Linked DNA regions of Daphnia pulex. The protein of the gene in region 1 binds, or shares a complex with, the protein of each later gene. Links are inferred from orthologs where the notes say so. Each region holds a gene or a part of one and is shown in the gene's direction. Other genes may lie near its edges.

The links. Proteins that work in one complex are often made in the same cells at the same time.
Region 2: the proteins of elongation factor 1-gamma-like (region 1) and elongation factor 1-delta-like are in contact, whole or in part, in a crystal structure (PDB 5JPO), measured with the Homo sapiens proteins. The link is inferred for Daphnia pulex from reciprocal best matches to the Homo sapiens genes EEF1G and EEF1D. Residues at the interface, in NP_001395.1 of Homo sapiens: Tyr9, Trp13, Arg14, Phe40, Gly41, Asn44, Gly56, Lys57, Val58, Ser104, Val107, Pro108, Ser111, Thr112, Phe115, Ile120, Met121, His123, Asn130, Glu134; in NP_001123527.1 of Homo sapiens: Ala2, Asn4, Phe5, Leu6, His8, Glu9, Ile11, Trp12, Phe13, Lys15, Phe16.

Annotation. Positions count from the first base shown.
Region 1 is NC_060020.1:8,828,896-8,832,908, forward strand, and holds elongation factor 1-gamma-like, read left to right. Parts: upstream 1-1,250; 5' UTR 1,251-1,533; coding exon 1,534-1,545; intron 1,546-1,653; coding exon 1,654-1,803; intron 1,804-1,869; coding exon 1,870-1,933; intron 1,934-1,996; coding exon 1,997-2,139; intron 2,140-2,216; coding exon 2,217-2,514; exon of another isoform or gene 2,515-2,569; coding exon 2,570-2,929; exon of another isoform or gene 2,930-3,003; coding exon 3,004-3,128; exon of another isoform or gene 3,129-3,155; intron 3,156-3,227; exon of another isoform or gene 3,228-3,291; coding exon 3,292-3,447; 3' UTR 3,448-3,513; downstream 3,514-4,013. Other genes in the region: uncharacterized protein LOC124193185, read right to left, coding at 1-225, 445-661, 737-833. UniProt on the Homo sapiens protein: Probably plays a role in anchoring the complex to other cellular components.
Region 2 is NC_060024.1:3,942,251-3,945,284, forward strand, and holds elongation factor 1-delta-like, read left to right. Parts: upstream 1-1,154; 5' UTR 1,155-1,296; intron 1,297-1,364; 5' UTR 1,365-1,371; coding exon 1,372-1,476; intron 1,477-1,535; coding exon 1,536-1,616; intron 1,617-1,673; coding exon 1,674-2,022; intron 2,023-2,088; coding exon 2,089-2,214; intron 2,215-2,278; coding exon 2,279-2,433; 3' UTR 2,434-2,520; downstream 2,521-3,034. Other genes in the region: signal transducing adapter molecule 1-like, read right to left, coding at 2,709-3,034.

The DNA of each region.
Region 1 (4,013 bases):
TGATTTGTTTGACTTTGATGTCCAAGAGAAGGAACCATATTGATTGCTTGTCCATAAAGTGATGAAGGAGGCACTCCTTGCAAATTCAAAATGCTTTCTTCCTTCCCTCCATTAAATACTGGCCTTGAAGCCCCAAGATTAGGATGCATGTACACAGAACCATGGGTGTTTGGATGCACTAATGGAGCTCCAGATGGATAGGGATGAAACAGCATCATATCACTGCTAATGAAAAATATTTGAGTTTCTAATCTAATTCATATGGACAAAAATTTCATAGGATATTGATCACTCTTGATATGAACACTGGTAGGGAAAATTTTACCAAATTAAACTTTTAGTGTCCATTTACTATTTACACACTTCCTAGGATATTTCAGCATGAATATTGTCTTCTTATTCTATGCTAAGAATGAATTTTAAAAGAAAAAATAGATAGCATACTTGAAACTGGATTCTTTGATTTTTCTTCTCGTATCATCCTCATTTAGAACTTTTTTGAGTTGCAGAAATAATTGATGCTTATCCTCTTTCAGTTGAGAAAGCCTGGATTCTGACTGAGCAACTTGTTCCTTAGTTTCTTCTAAAGTCATCTCTTGTTCTTTTTGCTGATCTTCTCTTTCTCTTCGCTGTCGCTCGACCTCAGCATCAGCTTCTTGTTCTGTTTAAGAGTAAATGAGTTACAGAGCACAATTGAAACATTAACACAATTATTGTGGAGCTTCATCATAACAACCTTGCTTTTTCCTTTGTCTCTCTCTGATTATGTGTGATTTTAATGAATTCCACATAGGTCTGCTGAGTTTCGGCTTTTCTAAAACAATGGCGGGCATTTTGTTTACTTTCTACACTAACGCTCCGACTTCAGATGAATGCACTGAGTTAATTATTTGAAAATATTTGAATTGTTTGGTTTGAAGTCCTTTCTTGACTCGCGTAAAACTGTTCTTTTTAACACAGTTTGAGCTTGATACACTTCTTGTCTTCGTGCTAAGTCCATGAAGTACCGACTACCGAAGTACCGAAGTACCACCGAGACCGAACTACCGAAGTACACCTTCCTGCTAAGTGCTGCTAAGACAGTTGATGCTTTCATGGATTCTCAGTTTCTCCCCAAAGATGTCGTGGCACGACCGGCAGCCTATAGAAGTCAGGTAGCCTTTGATCTCTAGAAGACAAGAAGAGCATGAGTAAACGTAAAAAAACCATAGTTCTGTTCCGTCGGTTCCAGGTCGGTCTAGCGGCGATTCTAGTGTCGCATTCTAGTGTTTGCATTTTAAAGTTCTAGCTCTATTCCGTTTTAAGTATCCACTTTCCACCTCCACATTCCACTTCCACATTCCACATTCCACTTTCCACATCCTAACTGCAACTCTGCAAGAGTGGCCCGCAAGGCAGACCAACAAAGGGCTGCGCGCTTAACAGCGTTGCCATGTAGAAATTTTCAACTATTCTCACGTTTGAGCTCGTTCTCTCTTGCAGCAGACTTCTTCTTGGTTCCACGTCAGGTTCTCGTCCCTGCATTTGATCATCATGGCTTCTGGAGTAAGTACGATCTGTGTTTGAATCTAAGAAATTCCGTGACATCTTCTTGTGTTTTAAAGCGTGATTCTGTTGTCCAATATCTAATTAATCGGGTTTTTTTAATTTTAGACTTTGTACACTTACCCAAGCAACTTCAGGGCCAATAAGGCTTTGATTGCTGCTCAATACTCTGGTTTCAAAATAAATGTCGCTTCCAACTTCGTCTTCGGCGAGACCAACAAGAGTGAAACTTTTTTGAAGAAATTTCCGTTGGGAAAGGTAATTTTCTTTATGCGGTTCATTTTCATGGTGGAAAGTTTTAAGTCTATGTGATTGTATTGATAGGTTCCAGCTTTTGAATCCCAAGATGGGCAGTGCATTGCTGAGAGCAATGCAATTGCATATTTCGGTAAATATTACTACTAAAATAGTATTCCTCTGGAATTGAGATGTAATGAGTGTTATTGAACAGTTGCCAACCAGCAGCTTCGAGGAAACAGTGACGTGGAAAAGGCCCAAGTCCTTCAGTGGATGTCATTTGCCGACAGTGAAATTCTTCCACTGTCCTGTACTATTGTTTTCCCTGTCCTTGGAATCATTCAGTACAACAAACAAGTATGTTTCTTATTTTAGTTTATTTGTGCAAAGCTAATTTTATATGTACAATGTTAATTGGTGTATTGTTTGTATAGGCTGTTGAACATGCTAAAGAAGAATTGAAGGCTATTTTGTCTGTCGTCAACAACCACCTTCTTACACGCACCTTTTTGGTTGGAGAGAAAATAACTCTTGCAGATATTGTTCTTTCTAGCAATCTTCTCCACCTTTATGAGAGCATTTGTGATGAAACTAACAGGAAGCCTTATCAAAATTTGAATAGATGGTTTATTACTTGTGTTAACCAACCACAATTCAAAGCCATCATTGGAGACTTTAAGATATGCCAGAAAGAGTGTCCAGTTGATCCCAAGAAGTTTGCTGAATTTCAGAGTAAGAAAATTCTAAACATTTAATTCATTGCCATTTTTATCCAATGTGTCAACAGGTAAAATAACTGGATCTCTGAAAAAGGAAGAAAAGAAATCTGTCAAGGATGAAAAGAAGAAAGAGAAAAAAGAAGAGAAACCAAAGCCAAAGAAGGAAGAGCCAGAAGAGGCTGAGGAAATGGATGCAGCTGATGCAGCCCTATTAGAGGAACCCAAGTCCAAGGATCCATTTGATGAAATGCCCAAAGGAACATTCAACATGGATGATTTCAAAAGATTTTATTCTAACAATGAAGAGTCAAAATCCATCCCTTATTTCTGGGACAAATTCGACAAGGAAAATTATTCTATCTGGTTTGGAGAGTACAAATACTCTGATGAACTTACCAAAGTCTTCATGTCTTGCAATTTAATCTCTGGTATATTCCACAATTTTTTTTTTTTTTTTTTGTTTTCAAAGAAGAAATCCCATAATATTCACATTTTTTAATAGGCATGTATCAACGTTTGGATAAAATGAGGAAACAATGCTTTGCATCCATGTGCTTATTTGGAACAGACAATGATTGTACCATTTCAGGAATTTGGGTGTGGCGTGGGCAAGATTTAGCTTTCCAGGTAAGATGGTTTACAATGATGTTACCTCTTTCAAAGACACAAATATTTTTTGTTTTCGATATTTTGTGTAACAAGTAGAGGGAAAGTAATAAGACTTACCTGTTTTTAAGCTTAGCTTTGCTTGAAGTAATGGATCTAAGTTTTAACAATATTTTTTGTTTAGTTGTGTCCTGATTGGCAGATTGACTACGAGACATACGACTGGAAGAAATTGAACCCTGATTCAGATGAAACCAAGAAGATGGTGGCGGAGTATTTTGCCTGGTCCGGCACTGATAAAAATGGTCGTCCTTTCAACCAGGGAAAGATTTTCAAGTAGTTTGGTATCTATACTCGTGGAGTGTTGTATCACAACCATTATCAATACAACTGATGAGCTACTTGATATGTTGGAGTTCATTCAGACTTACATTAAATTGTTTTAGCTTGCTGATTTAAGAATATATTGCTTAATCCCCTCTTTGATTCTCCATTGGGGTCACAGACCATTTTATTACACTCCCCTTTGATGAGTTGCAAGTCACGCTCATGTTAATAACTTCAAAGCAGTATTTATACATCTCAAAGCGTTTTGAACAATAATTTGCGTGGTTTGGTATACCAATTATCAAACAAAATTTAGAATTTGTTATGAACGAGAAAATGGTGCACAAAAGCTTTTTACAAAAAAAGGCGGATTAACATACAACAGAGCACCAGGTTCTCCGACTTTCCAAGCTGATGGATCGATTTCACAGGCGAAATAGGAATAATCAACAGTAGTGCCTCTAGTGCTCGATTACACCAACAATTTGGCTAACTATTTTATACTCAAGTGATCCAAGCTCTAAGCCCAGCTACAAAGTGTTTATTGGTTCGCTTGGTCATTAAGACGAGCTGTGATCA
Region 2 (3,034 bases), on another chromosome or scaffold:
TTTTTTTCGTAATCAGTTATGTGTAACACGGGTCAAAGAAAATTAAATAAAAATTATATATTTGTTATATTTTTATATCCATTTTACATAATGCGTTTGACATGTTATTCCTTATTCGGCCGTTATTCGGTGTGCTATGGTATGATGGTAGGCCTATGTCCAGCAGCAACGCCTAATATAATGACTATATAATCCTATTATTTCTTATTTTTTGAAATCATTCTCAATTCCAAATTCATAATAGTATCGTTGGTTATATTCAAATTCAAAGTCTTATTTCGTAGCGATCCCGATAACAACGGCCGCGACGATAATGTTCAAAGAGTAAAGAGTGGAATCCTTTCTTCAGCGGGGTCCTGATCCGTTGCTGCTCGATTTTGGAGAAACCGCATTGGTTTGCCGTGATGACCTTGCCGCTGGTCCGGTTCAAGCGGCAGCCGAAAACCAGGTCGTGGAACGTGTAGGTGAACAAGTGTTGAAGGAAGCGAACCCAGCCGTACTCGAAGTCGCCGGATGTGCTCCCATTCCAGTAGATATATTTGCCACCCTATATGCAATAAACATTTAATTGTAATTTAATATCATTCATAGTATATACGCTGAATCATCGCATTAACTTTTAAATTATCTTTGTGAAATTTCAAATTTGCAATAAAAAAAAAGATATTTTGCTAATTTTTTTTTAAACCTTCGGTTACATTTTTCAGGACCCAATCGCGGCTAAAACCTTGGACGGAACACGGAACGTATGTTTGATGCGACCAAGGAAGGCCCCACATGCCACATGCAAAAATCAGGTTTCTTGAGTACCGTACGGAAGACAAGGAAGCCCCCGGAAATTATGGACTTCTAGATCAGACACTGGCGATTATGCTGGTACCGGTATCCATGCCGATTATCTATGCTGTAGCAGAGTAATCCAGGAAGACTCTGGCTGTAGCCGCTGTAGCTGTAGTCTGTACGTATACACCATGTTTCAGTTTGAGTAATAACAATTTTCGCGGGCAATTTTCGCTTTATATATCTGCACTGTATTGTATATTTTAATAATTTTTTTTTTTTTTAAATATTACTGATTAATTGAAATGTTGAACCCTGTTGTCAATCATTTTTTAAATTAGAAAAGCAGAAAGATACAAATACAACTCTCAATAAAAAATTACAGCTTGGCATCGTTGTTTTCCTGCCTCAACGTGGAGCTCATTCTGCTCACCTAACTGCTCACTGCTCACTGTTCTGCTCAGCTGTCACCCCTCTTGGTTACTGAACGTTCGATCTTGCTCCATTGTATAACAGGTGACTAGAAATCAAAGAAGAAAATGTTTCGTTTATTCATTTATATGCCTTATTTTCGTATATTTTAGATTAAAAATGGTGAACAGCGCTGTAAATGAAGCATTGTCTCGCGAAACAGTCTGGTATGAGAAGTTTCGTTATGAAGATGCGGAACGTCAGTTCCAAGAAATCTTGGCAAAGGTATGTTAATTTTACCTTTTAGTTGAATATTTCTTAAATGTTTGAATCATCAAATTCAGGGTTCAACAGGACCAGCATCCTGTTCAGTTGTTGCTGAAATAATGAAAGCCAGGGATCAGATTAAAAGCTCACTTGCTGCTGTAAGTTCAACTATTTTTAACATGGTAATAGAAAATTGAAATTGATTTCATGTACAGGTTGAGGATTTACCTTCCTCTGGTTCTGCCATTCCATCTAATGTGACCAGTCGACTCCAACAACTGGAGCAGGAAAATAAAGATTTGAAAAAAGTTACCGATGATCTCCGTTCATTGGTGCTGAGTTTGGAGTCCAGGGTCAAGAGTTTGGAAAGCTCGAAACCTGGAGCAGCAGTTCAAGCACCAAAACCTAGTGCTCCTCAACCAGCACCTCCAGCTAAAGCAGCAGCAAAACCTGATGATGATGACGATGATGATGTTGATCTGTTTGGATCTGATGAAGAAGATGAGGATGCTGAAAGAATCAAACAGGAACGTGTTGCAGCATATGCTGCTAAAAAATCTACAAGTAATAGAATTGTCCATTTCATAATAATTGTATCTTACTACATTTATTTTTCATATTCCCTAACAGAACCTGCTCTGATTGCCAAATCCAACATCATTTTGGATGTTAAACCGTGGGATGACGAAACCGATATGGCTGAAATGGAGCGTCGTGTGCGTGAAATTACGTCCGATGGCCTCCTTTGGGGCACTTGTAAGTCAAATTAGTCAGTTTCGACACTATCCTCTGCAATGTTTAACTTTTATTTAATTTGCAGCCAAGTTGGTTCCACTGGCATATGGAATCAAGAAACTCCAGATTTCCACAGTCGTCGAAGATGATAAAGTGTCTGTTGACTGGCTGACTGAAACTATCCAAGAAATTGAAGATTTAGTCCAGTCTGTTGATATTGCTGCCTTTAACAAGATTTAAATTGTTTCAAGCAACATCACTGAGAAATCTGCAATTACTATTGCGTAACTTGTGGAAATAAAAAATAACAGCTTTAAGGGCATCAAACGGAAAGTTCTGCGAAATTTATTGTTTTAACCAACGTAGAGTAACTAAATGAGGTTGTAGGTAAAGGATGATGAAATTGTAAGACATTTAACAACCGAAACGTTGGAAGAATTGAACTCTAAGGAGAAAGGGGGTTACAACAAGGAGAATGAAATTGTAACTGTACAATTGCGCAGCTAGAATACAAATTAGAAATTCTGAGGATGGCCAGAATATGGGTTAACAAAAGGTTGTTGGCCCATATTAACCACTCCATAAGGCATTGGATTGGGGACTTGATTAGGAGGAAATGTAGCAGAATGGCTAACAGGTGGAGCAAATGGAGCTAAAGAAGGACTCTGTGGAGGTGCTTGAGGTTGAGGAAAAGGGTACTTCATGTTCCCGGATACATTCATGCCTCCGACAGGCCCAATGGGTGCAACGTTTGCGCCAGGATATTGGTAGCCAGGGACAGACATTCCCATGTTCATATTTGGATGGGTTTGGGGAGGCGCCGGCATTTCTCGCATAAGAC